Kluyveromyces lactis: one gene and its partners. The protein of the gene in region 4 interacts with the protein of the main gene of each other region in a biochemical or structural test. Links are inferred from orthologs where the notes say so. Each region holds a gene or a part of one and is shown on either strand. Other genes may lie near its edges.

What was found.
Region 1: the proteins of PBS2 (region 4) and SHO1 form a complex in vitro, tested with the Saccharomyces cerevisiae proteins (3 studies listed by BioGRID). The link is inferred for Kluyveromyces lactis from reciprocal best matches to the Saccharomyces cerevisiae genes PBS2 and SHO1.
Region 2: the proteins of PBS2 (region 4) and NBP2 form a complex in vitro, tested with the Saccharomyces cerevisiae proteins (3 studies listed by BioGRID, with this or other methods). The link is inferred for Kluyveromyces lactis from reciprocal best matches to the Saccharomyces cerevisiae genes PBS2 and NBP2.
Region 3: of the proteins of PBS2 (region 4) and SSK2, one has a biochemical effect on the other in vitro, tested with the Saccharomyces cerevisiae proteins (4 studies listed by BioGRID, with this or other methods). The link is inferred for Kluyveromyces lactis from reciprocal best matches to the Saccharomyces cerevisiae genes PBS2 and SSK2.

Annotation. Positions count from the first base shown.
Region 1 is NC_006041.1:628,308-631,959, forward strand, and holds SHO1 (osmosensor SHO1), read left to right. Parts: upstream 1-1,469; coding exon 1,470-2,543; downstream 2,544-3,652. Other genes in the region: AVT5 (amino acid transporter), read left to right, coding at 1-1,146; DNA-binding protein kinase TEL1, read right to left, coding at 2,847-3,652. UniProt on the Saccharomyces cerevisiae protein: Plasma membrane osmosensor that activates the high osmolarity glycerol (HOG) MAPK signaling pathway in response to high osmolarity.
Region 2 is NC_006040.1:1,429,827-1,433,019, reverse strand, and holds NBP2 (adaptor protein NBP2), read left to right. Parts: upstream 1-1,383; coding exon 1,384-2,067; downstream 2,068-3,193. Other genes in the region: SLS1 (Sls1p), read left to right, coding at 1-223; U2-type spliceosomal complex subunit CWC15, read right to left, coding at 380-943; ACL4 (Acl4p), read right to left, coding at 2,220-3,193. UniProt on the Saccharomyces cerevisiae protein: Negatively regulates the high-osmolarity glycerol (HOG) pathway through its negative regulation of the HOG1 kinase activity. Mediates the binding between the PTC1 phosphatase and the PBS2 MAP/ERK kinase (MEK).
Region 3 is NC_006039.1:742,537-747,576, forward strand, and holds the start of SSK2 (mitogen-activated protein kinase kinase kinase SSK2), read left to right. Parts: upstream 1-2,017; coding exon 2,018-5,040. Other genes in the region: ubiquitin-like protein HUB1, read left to right, coding at 1-218; putative serine/threonine-protein kinase PPG1, read right to left, coding at 353-1,387. UniProt on the Saccharomyces cerevisiae protein: Kinase involved in a signal transduction pathway that is activated by changes in the osmolarity of the extracellular environment. Activates the PBS2 MAP kinase kinase by phosphorylation.
Region 4 is NC_006041.1:1,361,369-1,366,200, reverse strand, and holds PBS2 (mitogen-activated protein kinase kinase PBS2), read right to left. Parts: upstream 3,351-4,832; coding exon 1,176-3,350; downstream 1-1,175. Other genes in the region: TRK1 (Trk1p), read right to left, coding at 1-484; KLLA0_E15291g (uncharacterized protein), read left to right, coding at 4,611-4,832. UniProt on the Saccharomyces cerevisiae protein: Kinase involved in a signal transduction pathway that is activated by changes in the osmolarity of the extracellular environment. Activates the MAP kinase HOG1 by concomitant phosphorylation at 'Thr-174' and 'Tyr-176'.

The DNA of each region.
Region 1 (3,652 bases), about 730 kb from region 4:
CGTCCTGAATTGAGCGTCGTTTTCGATGCTGCAATTGCTGTTAAATGTTTTGGGGTCGGAGTTTCATATTTGGTGGTCGTTGGAGATTTGTTACCACAGATAATGTCCACGTTTACAACCCATGGGTGGCTCTTATCACGCCAGTTTCACATCACTGCAGTTACGTTGATCATCGTGACACCGTTGTGTTTCATTAAGAAGTTAGACTCTTTAAGGTACACTTCTTCCATTGCAATTACAGCAGTTGGGTACTTATGCGTATTAGTTGTCTTCCATTTTGCCGTTCCAAATAGCGAAATCGACCATTTAAGAGGCCATGTTAGCATCTGGAAACCCAGTGATGTGGATTCATCCATGCTAAGCAGTTTTCCAATTTTCGTTTTCGCGTATACTTGCCATCACAACATGTTTTCCATCATCAATGAACAATCAGACAAATCTTTAGACAGTATAACGAAATTGATTAGGATTGCCATTACGCTAGCAATGTCTTTGTACATTTCCATTGGAGCGCTAGGTTATTGCACCTTCGGTGATCATATTACTGGTAACATTATCACCTTATACCCAAACTCCATTTCCAGCACCATCGGTAGAATAGCTATAGCATTGTTAGTGATCCTTGCCTTCCCGCTACAATGTCATCCAGCTAGAGCATCTGTCAATCATATCTTACATTACTTCTCCAAGGGGAACACCCATCCCCCAATGACAACCACAAGTGCAGAACAAAACAGTCTATTACGGGACTCTGAACTCGAATCTAGCGAACAGTTAACCTACGAATGCGAAGACGAATTAATTGAAGAAAACAGCGCTAATCAGCCTCCAGTAGTAACGTTAGAAGGCCCTAGATTCATCTTTATCACGTCTGGAATCCTATTATTTTCGTACATCCTCGCTATGAGTGTTACGTCGCTAGCAAACGTTTTGTCAATAGTAGGAGCAACCGGATCCACTTCTATATCCTTCATCTTACCTGGAATATTTGGCTACAAGTTAATCGCATCGGAGTACGCCAAATCCGTTGTACCACCAGCAAAAGAACGAATCTTGAGAATTATCTCATTGTTACTTGCTATTTGGGGATTCATCGTCATGATAACTTCACTAAGTGCTACCATATTTCTACATGCGACACATTGAGGGTACAGGATAAACAGGGTACTAGAGACTAACCATTGATACTGCTACCAATTGTACTCCCGATTGACACTCTAAATAAGCGGCCCGCGTATTCCTAGCGAGCCTTTGGTTGCTGCCTGTCACATGATCAAAAAATAACTCATCTCTCATTGTAGACAGACACCAAAAAAAATGATAAATGTATACCGTATATACATAAATATAAAAAGTAATCAATACGAACATACTTGAACTTGAAGCAAGTTTATTTCAATTTTAGTTGTTGTGTTGTCACAAGTGTTCCAATAGTCCAGCGAGGCAAGGGAATATCTGCAAACAGAGAGATGGCGTTGATTAAAGCAAGTCAAGCCCGTGCTGTAAGGGAGAATCCGCATGTATCTCATCAATTTAACATCTCGTCATTTTTGGGCGATCCTTTTGCCATAGGCACACTTAGTATTGCATTGATCTCATGGATCATTGCATTGGCGGGATCCATTGCTGTTGCAGCATCTACGTCTCCATTCCCAAGATTTTCTTGGTGGACTATAGTTTACGAGATACTACTAATGATTACGCTTTTTATCGTGTACTGTTTGGATTTAGTTGACTACTATAGAATGTTCATTACTTGTGCTGTTGGTATCGCATTCGTATATACTTCGAATAGTACTAACAGTATTGTGTACTATGAAGGGTCCAAGAGTGGTGCAGCAGCAGCAGGATTTATCTTGTTATCCATGATCAATTTGGTGTGGGTGATTTATTTTGGTGGAGATAATGCATCTCCAACCAATAGATGGATCGATTCGTTCTCACTACGCGGAATTCGTCCTTCGGTGCTAGAGACATCCATGGCTATTGCCAGATCGCAGAGACTGCCGGTCAAACCTTCTTACCCATACCAATACCAGGAAGACTTGCGTTCAGCATCTCTGCCTGATGTCCACCACGATGACGAAGGTGAGGGCCACAGTGGCAACATGTATGCGCCAGAACTTCAATCGTCTACAAAGTATGTGTCGTCTACAGTGCTGAACGGATTTGAAAATACAGATCATTCCTCTTCGAAACCAAACCTTGATGTTAATGCGCAAAATACTGCTACACTGAATACACAGGCCACTGGCACTTTCATCACAGATACCACCAATGCCAACACAGATACTACCATGGGAGACACATTAGGCCTATACAGTGACATTGGTGAAGAATTAAACAGTTTCCCATACACTGCAGAGGCTTTATATACCTATCAAGCGGACCAAACTGACGCGTATGAAATATCCTTCGAACAGGGCGAAATTCTCAGGGTTGGTGATATCGAGGGTAGATGGTGGAAAGCCAAGAAGTCAAACGGGGAAACAGGGATTATCCCAAGTAATTACGTTAAGCTTTTGGATGGGAAATCACACTGATTTTATTACTGCCTCCCATCAGTTTGTATCATTAAACATTTGATTTGTGTATCGTCTTTTATATTATATTATTTCCACAGTTTGCAATAACAACCGGCTTATCAACCTTATTCGCGAAAAATTCAAGTGCTTTTATCAACACAGTTACTGAATTCTTCATTAACACGCAAATACTTGCTTCGAATGAATCATGCTATTTAATGAATATGCTATTATTTATAATTATACTGCTTGCAAATCGCTTCAGGTGCTGGTAGTATAATAAAGTCTTCATCTCGAGTAAGAACTTCAAACACATCAATCTTAATAAAATGGGGACCATCCCATGTAAATTGTCGCTAAATTTTGTTTGTCAGTAGCACTGGACAAAAGCTCCTGAACAATTGCTTCAACGCTCAAACCGTCTCCATATAACTTACTTTCAACTCCCTTTAGTGCTCTTATGGATTCATCATTATTATTATCTTCTTCTAAAAGCTCGCTGAAATCTGCATCGGAAACACTAATTTCCTCCTCATCATAATCACCAGTAAACTTTGCTTGCAATCTTTGCTTCTTCAAGGGAGTCATCTTCCATGAATATAATGGGTCCCATTTCAGAACATTTAGAACACATAATAATCGCTCTTTCTCGTCTTGTAACACCTTAAATACTCTTTCGCAGTTATTTCTAAACAAACCTTCGATACCTGCTACGCCAAATCCGTCTACAATATCCCTTGTTAGTCTAAAGGGAACCAGTTCCGGTATTGGCAATAGCTTTCCCTGATCAAATGCCACTCCAAGATCAATATGAATGGGTTCACCGGTTTTTATATCAATCAAAATATTATTAAGATGCCTGTCTCCCAAGCCTAACAGATATCCGACAATCGATGATGTTACCACGCTCTTAGTATATCTGTTCCTACTTTCATACCAATCATGTGCATGCACGAAAGATTGAAAGAAGAAGCGTCTTAACTGAGGCTTAATTTTCTCCGTAATTCGACTGAATGTAAGTACTCTTTCCTCAACACTGTGATTCTGAGCGGCTTTCATCGTTTTTCTAGCTTTATCGAAACTGATTTCATCGTTACAATGCAAATTCAATAAAATATCATGCAAAG
Region 2 (3,193 bases), on a different chromosome or scaffold from region 4:
AGAAGGAATGGAAGAACCGCAAAAGATCAGATACAATTATTTGCATCGCTACGAACACCGTTTATTAAGATTCAAGTACAAAGAAGATTGTTTGGTACAACTCTCTGAAATTGAAGGCGGAAGCTTAGGAGGCAAAGCTTCATCTATTGATTTTATCAGCACTAACGGATCCATCAACAAGGACATCGTTAGAAATTTCATCGATGACGTTTTACAATTCTGAAATCATTCGAAATATTTTGGTCCTTAATGCATATATGTATAATTATACAAAGTCATCCTGTAAATAGTGCGGAAGAACAGATATATAGACTTCATTTAAGTTTTTGACGTACACCTGTCGATTGATTCTCCATAATAGAAAAATATTTAACATAAACTATTTTACATGCTTTCGTATAAATTCCTTATGATATTCGCTTTGAGTAATATTATTGACATATTTTCCCTTCCCATTTGAATTATGTTCAGATATACTTGCCGATTGATTGACTGTACCTTTACGTCCAAATACAGTGTTAGATCTCCAACCACCATGCTTTTGCGGTTTCGTCACTTCTTCATTTTGAGCTGCTGTGATTTCAGCACGCTGTTCTCTCAGTTTTTTGTCCAATCTTTCTTGCTTAACTTTATTCCACTCCTCTAATAGCGCTTCTTCATCTTCACTCTCCTCCTCCTCTTCCTCGTACTCATCGCTACTATCCGTGGCCTGTATCTCTTCATCTTTCGAGCATTCCTCTGCTCCAGTTATTTTGATTCTTTTCTTAGCCTCCTCACTCGGAGTACTTTCTACTTTACGATTCAACACCCTCTTCTTCGTGTTTCTATACTTAACCTCTTTGTGCCCCGGTAAAAGTCTAGCGTGCTGCGTCGAAGTAGGAATGTATTCTATATTCTTTGCCCCATTCCTGGCCTCTAGTTGAGGTCTGTGCGATGTAGTCATTTCAGAACACAGTCAATATTATATTCAATCTGTAGCACTCCACTGAAACTAACGTAAGCTTATCTACCATCCCAGGTACCAGTTAAATTAGCTCACCTGTTTTGCCTGTGAACAATCTCGTGAATGTGCGTTGATGTTCAATCTTTATAGCCTTGATATGAAAAAATAGCAATCTGAAACTTCAAATGCGAATCTACGTTAACAATTACCGTGTACCAAAGAAATAAGAACTACGAACGTCGTACTGGCAACTACATATAGCAAGCTACATTTCATACCAAACTTTTCTAAGAGGACATAGGACTTTATCATTTAATCATTTCCCGTGGAGCATTCGTTCACACTAGAAATATAGAACTGAACACATATTGAATGAGGCTTTGAACTTAGATCAAAGACGGTGAGATTTACTAATAACATCAGAAGACATAACTATCATAATGTCAGAATATGAGGTTGACCAAGAGGACGATATGGTTGGGTACATATCGATAAAAGATTACGCATATGACGAATCAAATCCGTTACATTTTGGTTATTTTGAAGAAGATGATGAAGATCAGAACAACCTTCGATTGAGTGGGAACAGAGAAAGTGTGTTACTACCAGATGATTATATCGTTAATAAGAGAGCCATAGCGATGTATGCTTTTGTCCCAGAAAATGATAACGAGTTGGAGTTGAAAGAAGGAGATGTCGTATATATAAGTTACAAGCATGGCCAAGGGTGGTTAGTGGCAGAAAATCACGATAGATCCAAGACAGGATTGGTACCGGAAGAGTATGTGCAGTTGATTGAAGACGATGGCGAAGACAACGGTAGGTATGAGAATCCTAGGCCGTTTTATCTTACTCAAATGATAACGCAGAGCATGTCTAATTATCACGATGATGATTGGGAAGACATAGAAGATGACGAGGAAGCTGAAGGACATAGTGATAAAGAGCACAGAAGTATACAGCGACCCAGTCAAGATTCAGTATCAGTTGATATAACGAACAACAATGGTGTTTCTCATGATAATAGAACTGTTCTTGAAAACGGAAAAACAGGCAGTACGTTAAATGAAAAGAGCGACGTATCAGAACTCGCGAAAGATATCAAGGAGAAATTGGATCTATAGCATTCTGTTTTCTGCGCTAAATATCTATATATTAGCTGCAATATTAATTAAATACTTTTCTAGTAATACGTTACAATAAAAGTCCCGTTAAGATGAAATGAAAGAATTGATCAAAAGCAGTTTAACATGAAGCCCGTGCCTGCATTCTTAGATCATTCAAGCTCGTTGATTTCGATTTCATCAATTTCTGTAACTTCCTCTCCACGTTTGAGTTTCATTAGTTCTGTTATATCAAGAGCACCACCAATTTCATTCAACAAGCCATGGACTCCTTGGATTATTTCCTTGGCCATTTCATCGTCGGACTCCGCATTTTCACTGAACTTAGAAGCAAAGCTCAAAGAAACACGCGCCTCGTAAATAATGTCCTTCAATGACTCATTCTTGATATCCAAAGGTAATTCTTGGACGTGGGAATTGAATTCGTAGATATTTTCAGGAGATAGTTGTAATGATTGGTTTTGTTGTTTAAACTGTTCTAATTTAGCCATCAAATAATATGTGAACCCTTCCAAGTAATAGCTCTCCAAATTGTCTTCGTCAATATCTTTGATCGCTGCTACTATTTGTAAACTTATCTCGTATAATCCCATTTCAATACACATTTTTGCTAACGAGATTGCTGGTTGTAGTAATTCAAGATATTCTGCATGGCTGGAAACGCTTTCCTCCGTTAATTGTTCTTCAATGGACTCTTTTTTCATTTGGAAGAATTCCCAGGCTTTTGTGAATGCTTCCGAAGCTTCACCGAATTTTTGTTGAGAAATCTTAATGGAACCTAGCACTGACCAAACCTCCGATGACTTACCTTCTGAAATTTCCATTGCCTTTGAAATTAACTCTTCGCATTCTGATTCTGCCTCCTTTTCCATACAAAGATCAGTCATCCATATTTCTATCATCGCAAGTAGCCCATTGACCATCATGTTTGCTTGTTCTTGAGAAAGAGAATCTCCGGCGATAGCTGATACGTTTTCAATCCCTTTCATAATGATAGAAATTCCATCTGGTCCACCCGTAATCTGACCCAACGTGAAGAATTTTGCACAACCACCTATCTTTCCGTCGGAATCCAACTGACAGGATCTTTCAATTAAAGAGTACGCTTTTTCCACCTGACCATTCT
Region 3 (5,040 bases), on a different chromosome or scaffold from region 4:
AAGTACTAGTAAACGATCGTCTTGGAAAAAAAGTCAATGTAAAATGTTTAAGCGAAGATACTGTTGGTGATTTTAAGAAGGTATTGAGTGTACAATTGGGGACTGCGTCAGCATCCAAGATTGTGCTACAAAAAGGTGGTAGCGTATTGAAAGATCACATAACTTTAGAAGATTATGAAGTTCACGACGGAACTAATTTGGAGTTGTATTATGTGTAAGTTTGTAAAAACATATATGATTTATCTATAAAAATTAGCTTGTATATTATACTCAATATTTGAATATGAGATGGGACTATACCATTAGCGAAAGGGAAAAAAGAGTTAGAGATAAGCATACAGTTACATTTGCTTCATAAAAAATAGTCAACTTGTCTTTTCAGAGCATATTTTGCTTGGTGCTCATCGGAGAATACGTCATATTGCCCCATGTGTGCATCGTCATCTTCTTCGAAGAAGGAATGTAAAGTTTTATCATTAAGCATTGGATCTGTAAGTAGTTTATTTTCTGGAGCTTCATCGAACACGTTAAAGTGAAAGTCTGTTGGTGAGTATAATTCTAAAATAGATGCTTTATTCCCACAACGATAACAGTAATTGGGAGCGGACCAAACAGTGGTGACTTTCCCTCCAAAATAATCCTGATATCCCTCGTTACATAGTTGATGAGCTCTGAGCATCTTTGTGACACCATTGATGCTAAAAAATTTGTCCACTATAGCTTTACCGAAAGTGTAACCAGCACCTCTCGGTGAGACTTTGAATTGTGAAGAAGTGATATCGTTTCTGTCGTCTTCAGGGTCTGACCAGACCAAATCTGCCATGGCGCCATCATGTGGGATTTCTCTGATCCTATCGATAATCCGTATTTGATCAATGGATTGAATATTGGGTGAAAGTCCACCATGAACGCAGAAAATTGTATCATCAATGATACATGCAAGAATCAAATAATCGAATAGATCCGTGAAATACTGCCATACTTGACTTCCCTCGCCAAATTTGTTCAAACATTCCGTATAAAAACCATAACTCTGGGTGATCTGACGTGATTCATGATTACCACGAATTAGATGAATACGGCTTGGATATCTAAGCTTTAACGTTATCAGCAAAGTAATTGTCTCCACACTGTACAACCCTCTGTCGACATAATCACCCAAAAACACGTAATTTGTGGACGGCAGAGGTCCACCAATATGGAATATCTCTAAAAGATCATGGAATTGACCGTGAATGTCACCAACAACAGTCACAGGCGTACTGATATGAACAACATTAGATTCTCTCACTAGCAATTCCTTTAATTTGAAACACAACGCCCTGATCGTCTCAGCAGGAAGTAGTTTCCCCTCATATAGCTGTTCCAAACACCAATCGAGTTCCATAAATATGATATGTAATATCCTCAGTACGGATTGAAATTTTTTGACAGCTCACTAATGGGATATTTTATCCTCCCTTAATGCATGGATCCCAACGCTAGCTAGAATACCTTAAGATGCCCAACAGATAAACCTTACCACCTAGCGATGAGTCGTTCACCCCATATTCTTTGTTTAGCAAACTTTACGGCTGGAAAGATTTCAACTTTTCTTTGTAAAAATCAATAACATTAAAAAAAAAAAAATTATCATGTCAAGAACCAAATTAAAGGTTCATAGGTACCGAGCAAAGTAGCTAAAGTGTGCCAGCCATTCGGATTAGAACAGCGACGAGATCGTTATAAAGATAGGTTATAATTGCTAAGAAACACAACTGGTGTGCGGCAAACTCGAAATAAAGGGGATTTGCTTTGTAATTTTCGGGGCTACTTGTCAATTCATTGTCTATAAGGGCATTCTTCCCGGTCTTTCAGAGATTACACAATCTTAAGGAAGAAAGAGAATTGGTGGATTTTTTAAAGGGCCACTTTTACGTTTGTACTGTACAACAAAGTAACGCTCTGTTTTTTGCTTTATCTGTTTTCCTTCACGTTTGGTTTAGATTGAGCCTCTCTCAGTTCGTCGTTTAAAGCCATGTCGCAAAACAACGATAGCAGAGACGAGGCATATGTCAGGGAGCAATTCCAAAGATATACGACTAAGATGGCTTCTAATAAGAATTCCAATACTGATTCGAAATGTAGAAGTACTTCACATCTGAATTCGCTGGCTTCGATTTCAAGTGACACTTCAAATGAAACTTTAAAGGGAAATTTATCAGCAGCTTCGCCTACGTTTTCATCAGATTCTACTCTGAGTACTAAAAAACTGCCAGTTCTACAGACGCTTCCGACATCTCTGCCAAATGGACAGCATCAACAGGGGCAGCTCTTTCCTGCTTCTTCTTCAAGCTCCTCAGCAATATCTTCAAGGAAACCAAGTGTGTCTGGTTCCTTTGGAACGCAGACTCCGACTACAGCTCAGTTGAAAACTATAACATCGCCCAAACTCAGCGGTGCACTTTCAACAAGGTCAAGGTCTAATTCGCTCACAAGCTCCAAACTATTTGCGCTGAACCAATCCAATGATTCTCCGTCATCGACCTCGGTTTATCCCGTACCGCCTAATGTCGCTTCGTTGAACTCTCAAACAGCTAGTTCAATGTCAGTTTCCACATCAGCGGACCAATATTTTCCAGCACAACAGAATGGTTCCACTACAACAGTAAATTTAACTCCAACGTTGTCTTCTCCATCGATTAGATCACTGAATAATAGCACCACCAGTACCACGAAATCGTTCAAACCTTTGCAAAAGCAATACGTACTCAATGAACAGCTTTATCTAAGCTCGATGAAAAATAAAAAAGCAGATGATTATTACACGCGAGGAATAACGTCTTCTGGAAATGAAGATGATGATGATTTTAGAGTGGATGGAGAAAACGATGATGTTGATAATGACCTAAGCAAATTGAATAATGGACTGGGCTCTGCAATTTTCGGAAATAATATCGCAACGACAACAGATAAAGGCTTTCATTCCATCGATGATGATGAACTTGTATTAATGAATGATAAAATCTTACTTGAAAGGATGGAATGGTTACGCTCAGTGGAACCGAATAACCCTCTAATAGAAAATTCATTGAACCTGTTGAATAAAACTGGTGGCTCTACGGACAGTCTTGAGAGCTTTTCAAATATTGAAACGCAGCTTGCTTTGGAACAACTCTCGAATAATCATTTAGTCAGAGAAAGGCTAGAGTGGCAGACTATGCTCTCGAGCGTTTTGAATGGTGATATTGTTAAGAGTGAGAAGACAAAACTTGCGAAACGCAAGCCTGATGAAATTTTACTGAATCATAATGATCTAATATGGTTAGAACTTAAGGCTTGGTTAAATGGTAGAACCGTCGAAGATCAACGTAAATCATTGGAATATTCTAAAACTACTGCTGATGAGGTATTCGAAGAAATCTTGAACTATAAAAATGAAAAAGAAGAAAACCCTGAAGTTGTCATAGAAGAAGCCAAAATACTATTGAATAAATATTACAAAGTGGTTGGATATTGGAAAAATCTCCCCAATATGAATCTCGAGAAACCTGTAACCAAAACCTCTAATTTTGTAAGCAGAATTGAAGCACTCAATTCGTTGATAAACTCGTACGAAGGATTACAATATGAGATAGAGGCATTGAAACAATGGACTCAAAATGATGATTTGGATGTAACTTTTACGAAAGATTCGTTAGACACTGAAGGTATCTTCAAAAATGACAGATCTTTCGCAGAACAAATTATGAAAGAGAAGGACATCGAAGGTATCTTTCAGAAAAAGATCTTTTTCAAGCATGCCCCTTGGATGTTCAAGAGCAAATTGGTGTTTTTGAAGCAACAAAATTCTATTCACGAAATGCGCTTACCTTTACCGGTGGACAAATTGCATTCTCTTTTAACGTTTCCACTTCGTTTGATCCAAGAAATAATATCAATCAGATTAGAATACGCTAGAAAACTCAAAAAGCCTACCATGATGATGATTGACCAAATGATTGATGACTTCAGTACATATATCAAGCTTTCTGTTCAAATCAAGCATACCCTTATGGAATACAGATCTGGATGGAGCCTTAAGGTTGAGATAAGTGATGCTTTCGATGCTAAAGTTGTTGAAGCTATAGAGTTCTTGTTCAAACTTCTTCACTTAAAATTGATTGACAGCTCAAAGAATTCCTTTAAAACATTTAAAGAACCAGACATTTTATTTGCCCATTGGGAAAACTTGAAAAACTTCGGTTGTTATATATCTGGAGCAAGTAAAGTAATCGCACAGGGTTTTGTCAACATTACTATAAGATTGTTGAACCGACTACATCTTTACATTATGGAAGAGCAACGAAACTCAGTAGACTTAGTAACTTCTGATGATGCCAGAAAATGGGTAGTTGAAGTTATAGAAAATGTCGGTGCTTTCAAGAGAAAGACCAATAGATTTTCGAACGTCTTAACGAAGGCGTTCCAAAACTCTGTTCTTTATAACATCAAGGATCACAGCATGCTGCTGGAGAGACTTAGGAATAGTGGACACTTCTTGATCTACACTGGAGGGATCCTAGAACAAAATGGGATTTATTTAATTGCAAGTGAGGAGCTTCTAGGATGCTCTGATGATGAAATAATGGACATTATCAAATCTACTAAAATAGGGTCCGATTTGATTCCAAAAGTTGAAATTAATAATAGTTTAACTATTTACAACCCTCCAGAGGATCTTACATTACCCGAAGCGATGTTCGTACAGAAAGAAAGACGAAACGGGGTGTCCTATTATCATTTAAAACAAGATGACCTCACACAGAGAGTTGGCATTAGAGGTAAAGGAGGAAGCTCGACAGCCCCTGAGGAAGAAGGAGAAGAACTCGTTCAACTCGAAAACAAATTGAAAATGCTTGGTTATGTTTTGGTATTCTGTCCAACAAAACCAATGGTATGGAATGGAGAAATGTACAATCTTACCAGCGAAGAACCTTTGACTATGGAAGAATTTGGCCTCAGTGTAGAAGAAGACGTTATTGTTATGTTGAATCAGGGATCAACTTACGCGTTAGATTA
Region 4 (4,832 bases):
TTTTGGTCAGTTCCCTTTGGCGCAGTGTCATGGTCCTTCTCATCTCAAAATCTCTCTTGGACCAATCACGAATACCATCAAAATATCGTTCAAACCAGTAAAACCGCACAAATGCCAAGCCACTATGAATGAAAATTGGGGTAGTTAGCGCGGTAGTAATATACAGAACAATTTGTTGGTACAATGACAGCTCATTTAAGTCTACTGTGTTTAAACCACCCTGGGTTGCGGCCCCCGTGGCTAGAAACAAAATATCGATGTATGCAAAGTTCTTAACGGGATAAATAAGAATAGAACATAGTAATGCAAATGCAATGATGTAAAAGTAATGGAATGCAATGAAGTTTGGAAATATAAATTTGACGAAAGGATCGATTTTCTTTGTTAACTTTTCGATAATGTCACGAATCTGATGACCTAAAGTCTTTCTGTATATTTGTATGTTTTGAACAGTAGGATTTCGTACCACTTTGCGGAAGATCATCTCTCCGCTTACCTGGTAATTACTAATACAGGTTACCAGTAGTTAACACTGAGAATTGTTATTATTGACGGTAACTTGAGTAGCTTACCAAAAGTTTATTTGTCTGAATTCAATGCTTTTATACTTTAGAAACCTCGGTACTAAATAAATCATTTTAGGTTGGCATATGTTCAATTTTTTTTTTTTTCCATCAATTTCATAACTTTTCATGAGAGGCTTTAAATCCTCGAAGGAACATTCTCAGCGAAATGCGGCCAAACAGGAAAACCTGACACAAGTCGATAAAAGCGTTGGTGCGCTTGACATTAAAGACGCTACGAATTTTTCACCAACATTTGAGTGATCCTAATGGAATCATAATCATTGATAGAATATGGTAGGACCTATTTTTCTCAAAATATTAAATGCTACCATAAAGATGATAGCGGTTCATACAAATTACACAGTATATAATATCAGTCCAATAAATGTATTGTCGGTAGTAATTGATGCATTGGAATAAACGTAATGAATTTTGCGCTAAATAAATGGCATGTAAACAGGTTTGTAGTTCTGAAATATTATGACAAGCGCTGGAAAATAAATGGAGCAAGGCTGATTTTTGGATTAGTGGGTTTTAAACTGTGGTTCGCTTTGTTTTCTTCTATATTACGGAATAACCGGAAGATAAGAAGGCGAGGCAAAGCTTAACTTACAATCCGCCCATATGCAAAGCAGGAACGTGCTTAGGTGGACCTTCGCCTGTTTGTTCTAGCAATTCCCTTTTTTTGTTCAATCTATTCGTTATGTATTCACTCATTCTTACGTCAACGTTTTCGTATTTTTTCAACCATGGATGTTCTAATAGAGCGGCATAAGTGGGTCTACGTTCAGGGATTTTTTGCAAACACATGGAAACAAAGTTTTGAGCATCGGCTGAGAACTTTCCCTCTGGAAGTTTAGGAGGTGGGCCGTCGACGATGGCACTCAACTGTGAGAATATGTTGTCAAACGTTTCTGGCGGATACGGATAAGCTCCCAATGCCATTTCCAATATCGATAGACCCAAAGACCAGATATCTGATTGGACAGAATACGTTGATTTGTCCGGATTCAGTGATTTGATTCTTTCTGGGGCCATGTAAGATTGACAACCGATATTTGTCTTGGCTAAAGAGGCAACGAGGTTACCTGACACACCAAAATCGCATAGTTTAATTGTACCCTGGCTTGCAGAACACAAGATATTAGTTGGTTTAACATCACGATGGATGATATTATGCACGTCTTTCAATTCCTTCAATCCTTGTATTACTGAGCTTGTTATCCTTGCTAGTTGTGGTTCGTCAATCCCCCCTATTTGTTCATCATCATAAGTTTTATCTAGAGATCCACCATCCATATATTCCATACACATATAAACGGCACCTTCAATGAAAAATGCACCGTAGAAATCCACAATGTACGGTGACTGGCAATTATGCAAAACTTCAAGTTCCATTAAGATCTGTCTAAACTTTGATTCGTCCAATTCCAATCTGACTTCCTTCATGGCCATTATGATATGAGTCGGCTTGTGTAAAACTTTGGATACGTTACCATAGTTACCATGACCCAATTCTTCCAGAAACTCTAGTTCATCTAACTTTATCCGGAAACTGGAACCGTTGCTAAAGTCTACACCTTTAGAGGATAAAGACAGCTTACCTGCGAAATTTAGAGATCCTGATTTAATATTGACATACTTGGAAAAATTAGCAAACAATCCACCGATACCAGAGTTAGAATTAGAAGTAGGATTAGATTTAGGATCAGTGCCAAGTGTATCATGTGAACTATTAGCCAAAGAAGTAGAAGTGGATTGAATACCATTAATCAAAGATCCGGGATTCGAACGTTTTCCTTGCAAGGGCAAAGCAGAATTGGAGGGAGCGCCCGCAAATTCTTGATGTGTATGTTGAGGAGCAAGCTGCTGTTGTTGATGTGTTGGTTTCATCTTCAAGGACATGCCGCCCGTAGGAAGCTTCAAGCCTCTTCTTGCAGACAAAGACTGTTTAGCCTTTTGTAGATGTGGCTGACCTTGTGAAAGCCTTGGTTGATTTGGCATTACAACGCCCCCAGCAGCAGCAGGCGGTCTGAAAGTACCTGCTGCTGCCTGAGAACCTCCCACGCCACCAATTGGACTTGGCGCACCAGCATTGCCGCTGCCAGTACAACTGGGAACACCTTGCGGACGTTTTGGAGCCTTTCTAATCGGATTGAGTTCATGATCCTGTTGTTGCTTATTACTGGCACTACCAGAAGATTCCGAAGCAGATGACATACCGTCAGACTGTATACTCAAATTCGCCAGAGCCTCTTGTGTCTGCTTCTCAAACTGTCCCTTCTTTTCCTCTATATCGGGAAGTTCTGTCTTAGGAGACAGCAGCAGGCCCCCCTGCTGCTGTTGCTGCTGATCATGCTGGTCATTTTCCGTAACTGATTGTGCTAACAATTCCGTATGCTGTAGATGCTGTAGATGCTGGTCCTGTTGTTTTAGGATCGGTTGTCGTTGTTGTTGCTGTTGTGTTTGCTGTATTTGTATATTATGTTGTTGTTGTTGTTGTTGTTCTAATTGCTGGCTATTCTCAGCCTCTTCAACCATTGTCTTCGGTGGCAGAGGCGGCAACGGTTTATTCACAATCTGCTCTATCTGAACCGAATTCTGTGACTGGTTAGAATGAATACTACCGGACCGTTTCAACTGTCTCTGTTCTTGGAAAGCTTTCACTCTGGCATGCAAACTGGAATTGATTTGAGAATACGATCCATTCCCACTGCCATTTCGTCCTGGTTTCCCCTGCGACGAAGAAGATGACGCACTGGACCGTCTCAAACTATTACTCATAATTGGACACACTTAATCGCCCTACTCACCTTACTAAAGTACCCTTCACTCACTCCTTTTCTCTTCCTGTCAAAGAGTGTTTTCCAGACAAAATACTAAATCAAACTGAAAGGTTAATTTCAATTTGATTTTGAGTTTGAATTATAATCGTTATAATTATATCGATCAAAAATCAAATTTGTCAAGAAAGGAGATAAGAAAAAATACAGAAAAAATTAGTTCCCAGTAAGATGCGCCTAGCAGTAGAAGTAAAACGAAGGAATTGTAGTACTATCCAGGATCCGTGTCACAGCTAAGCAAGGGTTCTTCCCGCAGTTGCTATTGCTACACGAGGCTTTGTAAATACATTGCATAAATTATATTGTACATTACTTAAATACCCTCTCTTCATTTATCACTTGAGTATGTATGTGAAATCTACAATTCCCCTGCAAGTTTAACAAGATTATTAGACTTTCTGGTTTTTGTTGTGTCTGTTGGTCGGTGTAGCCTGCTATGACGTGAAGTAGACCGAAAAGCAAGATCGTGAATATGGTTTGAGCATTTATTTCGTAGTTGTTGATGCAGAGAGAGGGGTAGTGGTGGGAATCAGGCCATTGCCCGGTACTAACCTTGTGTGGTGCATGTATGCGGTGCAAATATGCAAATCTTTTTTTCGGGAATGTTACCCGGGGGGATGATGGTGTCCACGTGACTATCACGTGGACGTTCGTTAGTTTTTTCCAAGCTCTCTTCACTATTCTCTTTGGGATTTGTATGTGGAGGGAGGACGGTGTAGCTCAATGGACAATGTTCTACGAACCACAGCATTTTGTGCACCGTCTTAAAGCCAATTTGTCGTCGTGTGACATTCGACCCCTCATTGCGCTTGTGCGAGCATTGTGAAAATAGCGCATGTTCCCAAGTACCCTAGCAATTGGAAGAAAGCTCTTCGAGAAAGTACAATCTGCTGCCATGATGAGTAGTATTGCGTGAATATGTTCCGAAGTTGCGTAAAGAACCCTAGCACCATCTTCAATCTTTGCTATTGCCTTCGGGCTGTGATTGTCCCCTCTTGTCTTTTCTGTCCGATCCTTCCTTTCTTCATCATCTGTGAAATATTGTGTGCATATCCAATATTGACATTTTCCATTTAATATTATTATTATTATAGAACTTATATAGCCATGAAAGTAAATTATCCATGTATATTGCAGAGGGGAGACAGGGAAGAGACGCACCTTGTAGCACCCAGGACAAGCAATTGAAGTGTTGGTAGATATGGGTACTAAGGGGAATGAGATGAATATATGGAACCAAATGGTTTGCGAGGATAAAAAACCAAAGTCTACTGATGCAGGGGAACCTCCTGCTTACATAGAATCGATTGATGCTGAAAAGGACACAGGGTACTGGAAGTACGATGTAGAAAAGAATGAGAGTGGGAACGACGGTAAGAGGAAGAAGACTAGATTTGTCAAGTTTTTCCATTTCTTTTTGGCT